Oreochromis niloticus: one gene and its partner. The protein of the gene in region 1 purifies or fractionates together with the protein of each later gene. This does not show direct contact. Links are inferred from orthologs where the notes say so. Each region holds a gene or a part of one and is shown on either strand. Other genes may lie near its edges.

Region 1 (8,021 bases):
CGTGTATTATTAGTATATTTTTACTAGACTTGGCAGCTAACAAATCAGCTGGATTTTATGTCAATTTATTCTTTTGAGATGAAACTGTTGTTAAGACAATTTCCTCTCCAGTAAATGAGACCAAAGTGCAAATATCAGAGTAGATACAGTGATGTAAAGTATTTTTTTCTTTGTTTGTTGATTAATCTGTTAATCAGTTCTAATTTTACAAACCATTTTAGCATTTCTAAAACTGGTTGTCCTGCACACTATTTAACTACTACAGTTAAAATGAGCTGGACTAAGTACTCATTTGTTGTCTTGGTCACTCTACTCTGCAGTCCTACGAAGACCTCTACATGGTGCAGCCTCGGGTGAAGCCAGTGACAGTGAGGAGGAGTTGGCTGCTTTTTGCCCAACAGTAAGGCTGTTGCTGTTTTACTTCTAAAGCTCTTGATATTTTAATCAAACTGTTACTCACTATGCCTGCCTTTCTATTGTTTAAAGTCGGGACATCATACCTGAAATTTGTCTTCAAATATAGTTTTTGTTTTTGTTCATATTGTGATCCAGTAATTATGTCAACATACACAAAATGCTTCCTAAACCAGAAGTAAACTTTTATATTTAAAGTGTTCATAATGTGTAATGTGAATTTGTGAAAAAATGTTAAAGAGAGTCTTTAAAATTCTATAAATTAAAATTTAAAGTCTGTCAATGTTTTGTTTTTTTTTGTTTTTTCTTTAAGTGAACATGAGTTGTTGTTAGTCAACAGTGTTGGTTACAAGGTTATAAAATGAAACGAAAGATGAAACCTTCATTGCACCTATTGCTTTTTCAGCACACGGTTAGCTACAGCAGCACGTCAGCACCATTTCCTGTTGTGGTTAGGAACGTCACAAAATGTGCTTGTTTATTTTTGTCTTAATGTGTGTTTGTGGCAAAGCCTGCAGACGGTAAAAGGATGAGAAACAAGCAGAGTCAAACTAAGAATGTTTCTCTGTTTATGTCAGAGTCGGAGTTACCAGCTTGACTGCCATCTTAAAAAAATGCACCACAGCACAACCTAAACCATTTCATTTTGTCTCCTAGTTTGATGATGCTGTTGTTGCGAGGGCGCTTGCACTGACCGACTCCGAGCATTCTGATGCTGAGGTTTCTTATACTGACAATGGAACATTTAACCTGTCACGTGGCCAGACCCCACTGACTGAAGGCTCTGAGGGTATGTATGCAAGAAAGACGGATTTCTTACCTCCATTTCCTGGTTAGTTCATGCTTCTGATCTTCTCCCGGTCTGTAATCCGGCCAGATTTTGACAGGCATAGTGATGCTGAAGAATCCTTTGCCCAGGACCTCCCAGACTTCCCCTCCATAAACCCTGATGCCACTCTGATGGATGATGATGATGACACGAGCATTGGACTGCCTAGCCTGGGTCCGTCTGGGCTAGCTAGTCACCGGGCTTCAGTGCTGGATGTGGATGCTCATCTTGACTCAGACCAAGAGGATCTAGATGCTGAACTTTCTCTTAGCAGCCTGCCACTTGCCTCTAATATCACTGGAGACTTGGCTGGAGTCATTGCCAGCAACATGATCCAGGCAGCAATAGCCGGGGCGCTGCAACCTCAGCCTCCTGCTGCCCAACGCAGAGAAGGTCCCCCCAGGGCCGGGGCCCACCGAAGTTATCGCAAGCAGTCCAGCTCTGAGCTAGACACAGACTTGGATGGAGAAGACTTTGAAATGCTGGATCAGTCTGAACTAAACCAGTTGGATCCCTTCGGTGAAGGTGTAGGTTCTAGACGTGGAGAGAGCCAGGGTTCTAACTTTTTGTCTAGCCTGCTTGGTAAACCACAGTAAGGTGTGTGTGTGTCTGTGTGTGCACAGCTTGAATGCGTATTGATAAAGTATGAGAATGTGTGTGGGAGACTATTTTAGGTTCCAGCACCCCTGTTCCTGATTAGCATCAGTTTATCACTGTGAAGTATTTCATATTTTCTATCTTTTCAGACTCTCTTTGCTGTAGTTTGAAATCTTGATCATCCAGAAAACTTTTACTTCGTAGGCTGAGCAATAGATAACACAATAACATACATAAAACATATTCAAACATTAAATAAACCAGCATTATTGAGCCTTTTTGCAGTCTTGTAACTTTACACACCACTCAGTTACAAGGTACAAGTACTTGTTGACTTCAAATGAAAGCCAGAGGCCATCAGATCTTTTCTACACCGAGGTCTAGACATACAGGGCTATTAACACAGGACCAAATGTGACATTCCTCTTGGTTGAGCTGAGCCATGTTTTAGTACTGATATTGTGCAACAGCCTTTTATATAAAAGCTTATTTAGGCATTGCAGTATTCGGATGTATCAGCCCTTCAATAAGTAGTAGCTCATGTTCATGTTGATACTCTGCTGTCTTAACACGATATGATGGAAGAGGATTAATTTGATGGTGTACCATCGAATTAATTTAGAGATTCATTTAGACAATTTAAACAGTTGATAGCAGTTGCGTATTTAGACAGTGATTGTGTTCTTCAATGAAGGTGAATGATATCTGGATAAAGTTCAACATTTTCTATTTCCCTTTTCTCTTGACTAACATGAACGCATTCAAAGTTTATTTTGTCACAATAGTCTTATGTGGCCCAGAGTAACTCTGATTGTTACATTTGTGTTAATGAATTTGTTCCTCACAGCAGAACATGCTTCTTTTTCGCGTGTGAGTAATTTCTGAATTTTTTTTCCATTTTCCTGCCCTTTAATATGGCTCAATTACCTTGTGTGCATGTTAAATACCTGGAATGAGCCATCGGGTTTGTGTGCGATTCAGTTTTTTGTTTGTTTTTTTTTTTTAAAGAAAAAATTTAAAATAGTCTCTTTATGTCTTACCACTCTTGTATTCTGTCTGCTTGACCTTCAAACTGACCTTTTTTTTTTTTTTTTTTTTTTTTAAGACAGAAAATTATATTCTCAAGGCTCTTTTACAATCTTAATAGGCGACCTTGTTTACATCAAGTTTGGATAGGAAGTTAACCTCATGTCTTTTTTAAGTGTTATTTTATAGTGGCTTTTGCTGGTCAGCCTGATTTCCTATACATGGACAAATCATGTCTGTATAGCGTTTTAGAGTGGAAATGGCACTTGAAATTTCCATGAGCCACAAGTGAGATTTACTGAAATGCACACATGAAAAGTTAAAATGCTGGTTGTTTAATAGAGGGAAAAAAACATCACTGTTTTCAATTGTTATTTTGAGAAGAAAATCATAGCTGCAATTTTAGCACAGTATGGAAAAAATCTGCTGGATTCAGAATTTAAATAGAAAAATGCAAACTGATGGGAAATTGCAGAAAACAAATATTACTAAATTAGTTGGACTTGGTTTGACCATATCAGTTAACAAGAATGTTTCTGTAGGCTGTTCTATGAGAAGTCCTCATTATGAGGGATTTGTAGGCTGTTTGTTATGTAATGTGCATAGTAGTGTATTTTCTTCTCTGTAACTGGTTTTGATATGTTTTGATGTGCAAATCATATTAAATAAAATGTTTGCAATTAACTGTCTCTCTGTTTATCAAAGGTGCTCTTAAGGCAATTCACATGTACTTCATTTAATACCGAAAAGCTCTGAAATGACTAGAAAACCAGTCACGGCCTAATTTGACATTTGTTTTATTCCGTTTTAGATGGATCGTCATAGCTGTGGACTTTGAAGAGCTGCAAGGGAATTTGATTTCTCTAAAGCACTCTTCGGATAATAAAAACATTTTGTGTCACATTTGGTCACATGTCAAAGGTGTCCTGTTGGTTTGATATCTGGTGTGGAGGCCATTTAAAGTACAGTTGACTCAGTGTCATTGTGGTGATAAAGTGATAGACATGGTCACCAACAATACACAGGTTGGCTGTGGCATTTAAACAAGGCTCAGTATTAACCCTAGAACACTATCGCTGGGTGATTTTCACCCGAACAAATACATTTACATGATTTCTCTCTCCTGCAGCTTTTAGCGTGTCGAGGAGACTGTGCCTTCACCAGGGAAATCTCAAATGTCCCAGGAATGGGTGAACCAAAGACCAGCTTTCCAGTGTCATTATTTTTTTGTTTAGGAATTTTTTTGTTCTTGAATTCCTAATTTTTCTGTTTTGGAGCATTATCTTAGGGTCCCCCCATGACACTTTTGTTTTCATATTGTTAGACATGGCACAGTTGAAGATAAAAGAAGACCACTCTAGTTTGTCATGTTGTCATATTTTGATGACGTACTTTTTGTTGGTCTTATTATATAAGGGGTAAAAAATCACCTGGCAGTAGTGATTGTGTTACTATTTATAGCGATAGCGTTCTAGGGTTTACATCAAATTCTGACCCTGCCGTCTGAATGTTACAGCAGAAATTGAGACCCATCAGACCAGGCAACGTTTTTCTAACGTTTTAATTTTAATGAGATACCTAGTAAGATTTTCTGCTATAGCCCATCTTTCTTCAAAGTTCCACATTTAGAGATGCTCTTCTGCATATCTTGTTTATTGCACCCTGGTCATTCTCCTCTGACATTAATGAGACATTTTCACCCAGAGAACTGCAGCTGTTTTCTGATCATTCTCTGTAAACCCAAAAATATGGTTGTGAGGGAAAATTCCAGTAGATCAGCAGTGTCTAAGATTCTCAGACCAACAACCATGCCACGTTTAAAGTCATCCAAATCTCCTTTTTTCCCTCATTGTTATGCTTGGTTTGAACGTCAGCAGGTCATCTCGACCATGTCCACGTCTTTATGTATGAGTTGCTACCATGTGATTAGCTGAATAAATATTTGCGTTCGGGAACAGGTGTACCTAATGAAGTGGCCGGTTAGGTATATCTTGTTTTGGACTTTGAATTGACTGCTTCTGAGAACAGCCAAATTAAAAGAGGTGTCACTCTACTTTTTTTCGGGATATCGCTAACGACATGAAATGAAGAAGGAGATAAAGTTCTACTAAACATAAAATAATTTAAGTAAAAGAACCATTGAGATACTTTCAACCTGTCATACTTAATAGCTTTTGGGGCAGGATTAACAGAGGGGCGCTCAAACGCGAAGGCAGAAGACGGATTTTGTGCTGGTGTGAATCATCTTTAAGCATGAACGATCTTTTCCGTGACGTGCGTTTTGCGCGAAACTCGGATCTGGAAAGCTAAAGTGGAGTAGTTGGAAATGAGTAAAAAAGATAACGGTAGGTTAAAAGTTTATATTCTAGGCTATAACAAGTTAGATGGCTTGTCAGTCGCCTGCACTGAGCGAACGACGATTGTTAAAAGTCACAGATATAAGGAAACGTTTAGCCAAACGGCTACAAGCTAGCGTTAGCTGAGACGACCTCCGTGTTTTTATTCTTCTTCCACTTTTCCAAACGATATACTTGTTTTAAGGAGGGGAATCATATTTATTTTAAAATAGGTTAGGATGATAATTATGGCCAGAAAAAAGGGACTATTAGATATTAACCATGAAAATCTACTTCTGGTATAAGTTAAGTGTAATGTTGTAGTAAGTTTAGATAAACGAGCTGATTGTCCTGCTGTCATTCACAGGGGCTGCCCTCATCCTTGCCTACCTAAATGAGAAGAACCGGCCCTATAGCGCTCAGGATGTCTTCTCAAATTTACAAAAGCAACATGGGCTGGGCAAAACGGTGAGTTTAACACTTCAACGAGACAATTAGATGCCTAAAATTAACCTGTTTTTCATAGCCTATAAGTAACTGTTTTTATGCATTTCTTCCAACAGGCAGTGGTCAAAGCCATGGAGCTGCTGGCCCTGGAAGGCAAGATAAAGGAGAAAATATATGGCAAGCAAAAGATTTATTTTGCTGACCAGGTTAGTCTGTTTGTCTGGAATATTATGCACATATAATTTTTATAAATTCCAGTAAAGTAACTGAAATAACTCAATCTGTCCCACAGGCTCAGTTCAAAGATGTGAACGATGCAGACCTGAAGTCAATGGACCATCAGATCTCAGAGCTCAGTGGAGAGGTGCAGTCCCTTACCCAGAGTTGCAGACAGCTAGATGCAGGTGAAATTTTCTGCTAATCACTGACATTCAACAATCTTATTTATCTTCTCAGAGTTTGCACACTCTTAAGCCACAAGATGTGGCTGTTTGATACAGTAAACGGTTTACGATGAGGCTTGTCCCCACTGCTCTTTTCTCTACACGTGTTGTTTTTGTTCTACTGCATATGTTTGAAAGGGGATGTTCTGTAACATTTCTGTGTGAAATCTGTGATGACAGAACTGAAGGAGCTAAACAGCTCCCTTACAACAGAGGAAATGGTGTCAGAGATCCAGGAGCTAAAAGCAGAGTGTTCTGGGTACAGAGCCCGACTGGAGAAGATAAAGTCAGCCTCAAATCACATCACGCCAGAAGAGAAGGACAAGGTGAGGAATCCACCAGGGATCTGTCCTACGGCCTCTCTTATTTCTAAATGCTGTGAAAAAGTATTTACCCCCTTACCGACGTCTTTTTTTTTTTTGCATATTTGTCATATTCACACGCTTTAGTAAATTTTAAATTAAGCTATGTCATCGCACCCATTTGCAAATGAATCCCCATCTCACTGTCCCTTCTCCCTGTTTGAGTACCATGGTCTACAGCCTTCAGTTGTCCTCTGTCTTCCACAGTGTCATATAAAAATCTTAATGATTCATGAGTCAACTGTACATATACTGTTCAGTAGGTATCTGAGAGTACACCTTGGATGGAGCTGGGTTTTTTCCTAGAGAGTAGGGTACTGCTCCCATGTGGCTGTTTAACATCTCATCTCACTGTAGATCAGCTTGTTAGTCTCGGTAATGGTAATGGTGGCGGCATAGTGCTGCATTCACATAATCTAGTAGAGCTTCTGAGGGTACTTCACTTAGTCTTGGTAACGGAGGATCCAGGTTTCAAGCTTGCCATGATCTCTTGCACTCAACGATCATTCTTCTAGCGCACTTGGGGTTTGGTACCCAATCTCGGGTGGGGCTGATAATGTTATCTCCACCCCTGACCTGTCGCCCTGGCTCCCCCTTGCCGTAGCATGTGTGTTGTACCCTATCAATCTCTAACCGTGAGAGCAGTCCCTTCTCCTGAACGTTGGACCTGCAATGTGGATGTTGCGTATCGAACTTGCCACTCCTGCTCCAAAGGTGTGTAACCTTACCACTACGCTATCCAGCTGCTTATATATATTAGTATTATTTTTAATTTGCAGGTTTATAAAGAACGAGATCTCTACGTTAAAGAGTGGAAAAAGAGGAAGAGACTGGTAATCTTTTTTACTTAAGTTCCTTTTTGTATTCATAGCTCATATGTTTCATATTGCATGCCATGTATTTTAAAAATGCAGTACAATCCCTCCCTTTCATTAGTGCGAGTGAAACTGCATATGGACATGTTATTAAAGTGTTTGGCACTTTGTTTGCGTTAGGCTTCAGACATGATAAATTCAATCCTCGAGGGTTATCCAAAGAGCAAAAAGGAGTTCCTGGTGAGTTTAAGACACTAAGAAGAAGAAAAGAAAAAAATCCTTTTTAAGAATAAAATAAAATTCTTGCTATTACCTGCAATATTCTGCTTCCTCACAGGAAGAAGTTGGAGTGGAGACTGATGAGGACTGTAAAGTAGTTCTTCCACATACTTGAACAAGAAAGTTCTTTTACAGTCACCTTGCCACTAATCTAAGCAAATGGATTACACAGGAAAGCAATCTGAAGCCCAGAGAATACTTTATTTATCGCCCTTTATTTTGAATAAATAGTTCAACTTTAATAAATGCTTTAATTGAAAAAAAAAGTTCATAACTGAAAGTATGTTTTTATAAAAAACTGTTTCGTTGCTTGTGAAACTCTTAACACTTTCACATCAATTGACAACACAGTCATGCTCTTCACCTCAAAGGCAACGCTGGTTTAAATTTTCCCTTCTAAAGCGATTTAACCAATCCTGAGCTTTCCAGTGAAAATCTCAAGGCTTTATTTAAATGTTTAAAATCTATACATT
Region 2 (7,069 bases), on another chromosome or scaffold:
ATGTGGATATCTGCTGGTTGCACCGGAAGCCTCAGACTAGCTGGCTTTAGCCCCGAGAGGCAGAAGTCATCAGATGTTCACTGGTAGCTTCTCAGAACAGCTCTGCAGGGAGGATGAAGTGACGTAATACATGTGTATTTCACTAACTACACTTACATAGAACAGTACATTTTTTTTTTTTTTTCCATTTATTTTAATTTTTTTAAAGAAGTGTTCTCTCTCTGCTGTTGCTTCTCTTTGAAAACCACACTGCAGGTTTTCAACACAGAAGGAGAATTCTTGCTGAAATTTGGCTCCAATGGTGAAGGCAATGGCCAGTTCAACGCCCCCACAGGAGTGGCGGTGGACGTCAATGGAAACATCATAGTAGCCGACTGGGGCAACAGCAGGATCCAGGTACGCAGAATGAATCATTTCTACTCCTTGAAGACTCGGTTAATACAAACTTCTGTTTCTTTTTTTTTATCAAGTGGCATCCAACATTACAATATTGCCTCATAATGGCTAATGAAATGTTACCAAAACACCATTAATAGTATATTTATACACTGATCAGGTATAACATTATGAGCACTGACAGGTGAAGTGAATAACACTGATTATCGCTTCATCATGGCAACTGTTAGTGGGATATATTAGGGAGGAAGTGTTCTCAAAGTTAATCTGTTAGAAGGAAAATGGGCTAGAGTAAGGATTTAAGTGAGTTTGATAAGGAGATAAATTTTGATGACTAGACGACTGGGTTTCCAAAACCGCAGCTCTTGTGGGGTGTTCCCCATCTGCAGTGGTCGGTATCCATCAAGTGGTCCAAGGAGGGAACAGTGGTGAACCAGCGGCAGGCTCATAGGCGGCCAAGGCTCACTGATGCAAGGCTGGCCTGTGAGGTCCGATCCAACAAGCAAACTACTGAAGTGCTGAAAAAGTTCACCCTGGTTCTGACAGAACGGTGTTAGAAAACACTGTGCATCAGTTTATTGTGTATGGGGCTGCATAACTGCAGATCAGTCAGGGTGCCCATGCTGACCCCCAACACCAACGCTGGGCATGTGAGCATCAGAGCTGGACCCTGAAGCAATGGTCTGGTCTGATGAATCAGGTGTTCTTTTACATCATGTGGATGGCCGGGTTCGTATCACTTACCTGAGGAGAAGGGAAACGTCTTCAAGCAACTTAAAGAAGTCCAGACACTTTTCGTTCCAAGCTCCTTAGATCACTTAGCTGAGGAACAACTGGACCAGAATGCACTGTGGGAAGAATTCAAGCTGGGGGAGGCAGTGTGATGCTCTGGACAATGTTCTGCTGGGAAACCTTGTGTCCTGACATCCACATGGATGTTACTTTAACACGTACAACCTACCTAAGCATTGTTGCAGACCACGTAAACCTTTTCATGGAAACTGCATTCACGGTCTCTTTCAGCGAAGTAAAAATGGTTTAGGGATGGTTTGACGTGCACATCGAAGAGTTTAAAGGTGTTCACTTGACCTCCAAATTCCCCAGATCTCAATCGAGCATCTGTGGGATGTGCAAAGAAGTCCAATATATCGATGCCTCACCTCACGACTTACAGGATCTGTTGCTCATATCTTGGTGCCAGGATCCACAGCACACCTTCAGCGGTGTAATGGAGTCTACGGTTCGGGAGGTCAGACTTGTTTTGGCAGTACAAGGGGGACTGACACAATATTAGGCATAATGTTAGGCCTGATCACTGCACGCTGGTGTCTAAAATACATGTGTTTGAACCTCTTGAGACCCTGTGTCCTCATATGGAGATCTTCCATTTGGCTTTTCTGCACCTTGTATTTCACAGATCTCTTGCATCACATCTATCCCATACAAAAGCTTGGGTCTCAGAAGGGTTAAACCAATAGAAGGCAACAATTGTCACTTCGTAAAAACTATTTTGGTCACTATGCATCATCCATATTCATGAAATCATTCATTATTTTTTTTTTTAAACTTTATAGCTATGTGTGTTGTACTTTCCACAAAAAGCCGAATGAACGAAACACTGATTTCCAGCAGTGATGATATTTCTCTCTCTCTTAGGTGTTTGATGGCAGCGGTTCATTCCTCTCTTACATCAACACGTCAGCGGACCCCCTCTACGGCCCGCAGGGACTGGCGCTCACTTCAGACGGACACGTCGTGGTCGCTGATTCTGGCAACCACTGCTTCAAAGTCTACCGCTACCTGCAGTAGCCACTCGACACAAAGCCTGTACAGTGTACATATGTACAAACACGCAGTAGTGCGGAGCAACTGGAAGTTTTTGCACTCCCCCCTCACCTGTTCACCCTTGAATCTTGCTGTCATTGTGCCATCTGTTTGACCTTTCTCCCTCCCCAAACTAACACAAGAGACTATATTAGTGGTGCGAGGGAAGCGATATGACCTCTGACCTACACGAATGGCTGCTGCTGATTGGTGCTCACTTGAGACCTCGTTCACCTTCCATCTTAATGTGGAGTATTTGAAAAGGCTTTAACGCGGTCCACATGGTAGAACTTTGAAACTGGGAAAAAAATAAATACATACTTTTGCACTTGTTTTTCAAATCACTGGCTGTATTAAGTGAAGTCATAATTAAAGTAAAAGGTACCTTAGTCACCTGAGAAATAATGAAATTCCATCTGTAGCAGCAGTGACTGCAGCTTCCTGCTAAATGCTCTCAAGGGTTTTTACATTTTGCCTCTTTACTATAAAAGTGTTCCACCCACTGTAGGTATAGCAGGGTATTTAAGAGCATGATTAAGACGTCTTTGTGCATGCAGTTCTTACTCAAACACCTTAAACTGTGCGTATGAAACAGTTTCCAGCTGACCACTTTCAAACAGAGACGCTGTTTCACTTCTATTTGAATGTGAAAGCTCCTCATTGAGCTGTGTCATCACTTTTAATATTAAAAAAAACAACCCAGTATGCTGACAAGTGTGACTGTATGAATTAAGGGTACCAAACATAAGCCACCTGATATGCATCTGCTGTGTATGATGCCTCTTAACATTTCTGCTGTGATCGTGTGCAGACCCCTCGAGTTGCAGAATTTGAATGAAAAGCTAATTGCTTGGAATGAACTCGGCAGGATGCATCCTATTAAGTTTCTGATTGAAAGATTTCTTCATCACGCTGAAAGTAGAGGTGCAGAACTGCGATCACCTTCACTCCTCCATGTGCTCTTATAACTTAGGTTAAATCTATAGAGTGAGTAACAGATTGTGTTTTAACAACACAATTTGTCTACCTTCACAATCAGCAATAGAAAGTTTGGCAGTCAAGGTGTACGTTAAGTGATAATGCACTGTGTTCCTATTAGAAAGCCTTGTTTGTCTTCAAGCACACAACTGTCATTATTTGTTATCCAGAATCGGGTCATCGATTTTCTACACGATCTTGTAAATTGTTTGTTTTCCAATGTCCTGTTTATATTTGTAATGCCAAATGGAATTAAAGTGCCCATAGAAATGAATGATAGTGCTTTTGTGTGTAATACATGTGCTGCAATAAGCTGAATTTAGATAGATATGTTAAATAAAGAATAACACTAGTAATTTCAAAAATGTTTGCACATCACTTTAATCTTATGGTCCCAAACAGTTTTTAGTCTTTGGCTGCAGATAAAGCCTTTAGGTCTACTCAGCAAACGCCCCTTTTAGAGGAACCGCCCATGGAAAGCCAGGGTGTGGATATTTCTGACCATAGAAGGTTTTTGTTGCTCAGGGCTGTCTGCTTTGGCCTTTTATTTCATCAGACGGCAGGGGGCGCTATAAAGCCATAAGCGGAAGTCAAAAAACAGTGCTCCTCCCCAATGCTGCCTTCATAAGCACTCGTACATAATCCGAATACTGTTCGTTTGTTTATTGGTAAATCAGGAAGGAGAGAGTTAGGGGAGTGTAAAAGAAGTGCTTCAATTTAACAGTAAATATTTTGAATGCATTCAGAATATTGGAATTATTATTGATTCTGTATCTCTATCAAACAGACAGTAACTCTAAGTTCACAAAAAACATCTGGTGAGTTTTGGAGTTCCGTAAACGCAACATTGGTACGTCACAGCCTTCCGCGGGAAATTCGCTAGTGCTGCGTCCCCGCTCTGCTTATACGTCGCCTAATCTTTCTTCTTTACATTAAAAACTTTTCAACACCCCTGTGTTACCCTCAGGTGGCTAAAACGTTAATGTTAGTGGTCGTTGTTGGTGAGCTCTACATCGAAAAATGGTAAGCAGAAGTGCACCTTAACCTGCTGTACCTACTGTAAAGACCACCGGCGTTTACGTAGTTGTTTGCTATCATTTGTAAGCTAGCTTATAGCTTAGATAAATAGACAGTTACTTTATTGATCCCACAAGGGAAATGATTGTGGTACAGCAGCATGATAAAGAGTAAAAGCTTATACCTATCGCTAACGATACTTTCACAAAGCAGCATTTATTATTTCACATCATACATTTGGTAAACGGCTACAAACTTTACCTGTCATTGGACCAGTCATACCCCTGCTAGCAGTCTATTTCATTTAGTTACTTCACAGTGAACCACTGAATATATAAACAACTTGTTTAGATGAAAGATTTCAAGAGGTCATTCTTCTAATCTCTATTACCTTTGGCTCCTTGTTACTCGTAAATAATAAGTGTTAGTAACTCAGTGCCTCACATATAGATGAATAACATTAACCCCCTGTTACAGTCAAAGAAGAAAGGACTAAGTCTGGAGGAGAAGAGAACTCGCATGATGGAGATTTTCTTTGAATCTGTGAGTTTGTACCATTGCAGGTGACCCAGCCTCCATATCCCCACTGTTCTGTCCTACTCTGTGTCCTATTATTCATACTGGTCATTGCTGTTATGTGATTATTTTTCACCATTATACATGCGTGATGTAATACATCTCCTGACTAAACATACCCCCCACTCCCCACCCCCAGGCAGCAGATGACGTGTTTGATTCAATGTTTAAATCCATGCACCGTAATATTGAGTTAGAAACTTGGTTTTCAACATTTAAATCAGGCAATAAAAAGTGCAGAAAATGAGACACTTAAGCGGTCCTTAACATGGATAAACCACAAATTAAAATATCCAGAAAATCAATTTATTTTCTGTTTATGCAAATGTTATTTATGTTACCATCCAGAAGCAGTTCTTTGAGATGTAATAGTTTTTAAATTATTTCTTTCTCTGTGATATTGAAGTTTTTATTTTGTTTGTTTGTTTGTTTGTTTTTTAAATCCTGGAACATGTTCTTGTGCTCTCTTCCCAGAAAGATGTGTTTCAGCTGAAAGACATTGAGAAGATTGCCCCAAAGTCAAAAGGCATAGGTGAGTAAGGAACAACAGTTCCAATCGGAAGGTCAGTGGTTCGATCCCTGACTCCACTAGTCTGAATGTCAAAGTGTTAGCTGATTGGAGTGTGAGTGAAAAATTTGAAGCTTCTGTGTGTGAATATTAGTCAAAGTGCTCAGGCTTAGATAAAAACTGTGTGTGTGAGTGAGAGAGAGACTGGGTGAAGTGCTTTGAGTCCTCTGTTACAGTAGTTCAGTTTAAAGGTTGGTTGAGACTTCACTCTATTTTTAGAAAACACTTATTTTTCCTACACCAGACTTTCTTCTGATTTTGTTTGTATTTATATCCACTTACCAGAATAGCCTCATATTTCATCCAGCCAGATGGCTCATGAGGTGATCTTGCTGCTGTGATGTTGGTTTGTAATAAACTCAGAGGAAAAGGAAACAGCTGGAAGCAACAAAAAAATCTTCAGTCACTGTTTTATCAAAATGTAGGTTCTTGTCATTTCTGATGAGTCTTGTTAAGGAAATATTTGACTGTCCAGCTGTACTTTATAGTGTTTTTTTTTTTTAAAGTGAAAAAAAAGCAATGTACATGAAAGGTGTTCAGTTAATAATAATATATATATTTTTTTGAACGATCTGTGTGCACCTTCTGCAACTAAAGTAACACAATCGGTGTGTTGAATGTAGACAAAGCCTGACTTTTGCCAATTTGTATCATATTTATTTCCCCATGAAGGTCTCACTTTGAAACTTCCTCTTAATGCGTGTGTGGTTAGTTTAGGCAGAGTGAGATGGGTCGAAAGCGGGTGTCTCACGCCAAAGTGTTAGAGTTAGCGGCATCTTCGTCGTCGTCGTCGTCGTCTTCTTCTCTTTTTTTTTTTAAAGTGAGCTGAGCAACTCACAGTGATGCACAAGAGGCATGCACAATCAGATCTTGTGCCCGTCTCTGCATTAATGTGACTTCATAATCATTAGACTTAAGTTTCCTTTTTGATAAAGCGTATAGATCGGGTTGGATCAGGTGACCCAGAATCCTCCCTTAGTTACGCTGCGGTAGGCTTAGGCTCTCCATGATGCAATTTGTGTTTCTTCTTCATTAGTCTTTTTTTCCATTCATTGCATTTACACACCACTCTGCATGTAGTCCTTGGTTATTATTAATCTCTGGCTCTTTTCCACAGTTTGTCTTTTGTCCTGTTTCTTCCTGTTGAAAGGGAGTTTTTCCTTCCCACTGTCGCCAAATGCTTCCTCTTAGGGCGTTGTCTGTTTCTTGGGTTTTCTCTGTATTATTGTAGAGTCTTTACCTTACCTTGAGGTGACCGTTGTTGTGATTTAGTGCTATGTATATAAAATTGAATTAAATTGAGTCTTGTAAGTGACCCGTAAATGTTATTAGTGTAAGACTGATATCCGAAATTATGGAAAACTGACCATTGTGTTCATCCAGGCATGATTAATGGAAAGGAGAATTAGAGGATGACAGAAAAATGACAAACAGATGGACTTGGATGAATATCATAAGGACAAACAGCATCAGCGTGCAATGCACATTCATGAATTCTTAAAGACATTGTGGTGACATGCTTACAGAATTGCCATGGCAACTAGGACGGGCTATTGCCATCTTTAGTGTGTGTAAGCAGAACAAAACTTATCAGTAGCAGAAATCATTTAGTTGAGAAGCTTTTGGAAGCTTTTGGTTTTGCAGCCTGACTTTCTGATGGTTGAGGCAAAATGTCTAATAATACAAAATTAGATTTTTAGGTGCTAAATC

Evidence for each region.
Region 2: the proteins of psmc3ip (region 1) and mnd1 purify together in Homo sapiens (co-immunoprecipitation; 6 studies listed by BioGRID and IntAct, counting the BioPlex papers as one, with this or other methods). This does not show direct contact. The link is inferred for Oreochromis niloticus from reciprocal best matches to the Homo sapiens genes PSMC3IP and MND1.

What each region holds. Positions count from the first base shown.
Region 1 is NC_031969.2:26,004,480-26,012,500, reverse strand, and holds the start of psmc3ip (homologous-pairing protein 2 homolog), read left to right. Parts: upstream 1-4,931; 5' UTR 4,932-5,192; coding exon 5,193-5,211; intron 5,212-5,569; coding exon 5,570-5,670; intron 5,671-5,765; coding exon 5,766-5,855; intron 5,856-5,941; coding exon 5,942-6,053; intron 6,054-6,272; coding exon 6,273-6,418; intron 6,419-7,233; coding exon 7,234-7,287; intron 7,288-7,449; coding exon 7,450-7,509; intron 7,510-7,606; coding exon 7,607-7,663; 3' UTR 7,664-8,021. Other genes in the region: retreg3 (reticulophagy regulator 3), read left to right, coding at 321-400, 1,072-1,204, 1,292-1,839. UniProt on the Homo sapiens protein: Plays an important role in meiotic recombination. Stimulates DMC1-mediated strand exchange required for pairing homologous chromosomes during meiosis.
Region 2 is NC_031971.2:13,859,324-13,866,392, reverse strand, and holds the start of mnd1 (meiotic nuclear division protein 1 homolog), read left to right. Parts: upstream 1-4,052; 5' UTR 4,053-4,218; coding exon 4,219-4,221; intron 4,222-4,692; coding exon 4,693-4,758; intron 4,759-5,265; coding exon 5,266-5,323; intron 5,324-7,069. Other genes in the region: trim2a (tripartite motif-containing protein 2), read left to right, coding at 256-396, 2,053-2,205. UniProt on the Homo sapiens protein: Required for proper homologous chromosome pairing and efficient cross-over and intragenic recombination during meiosis.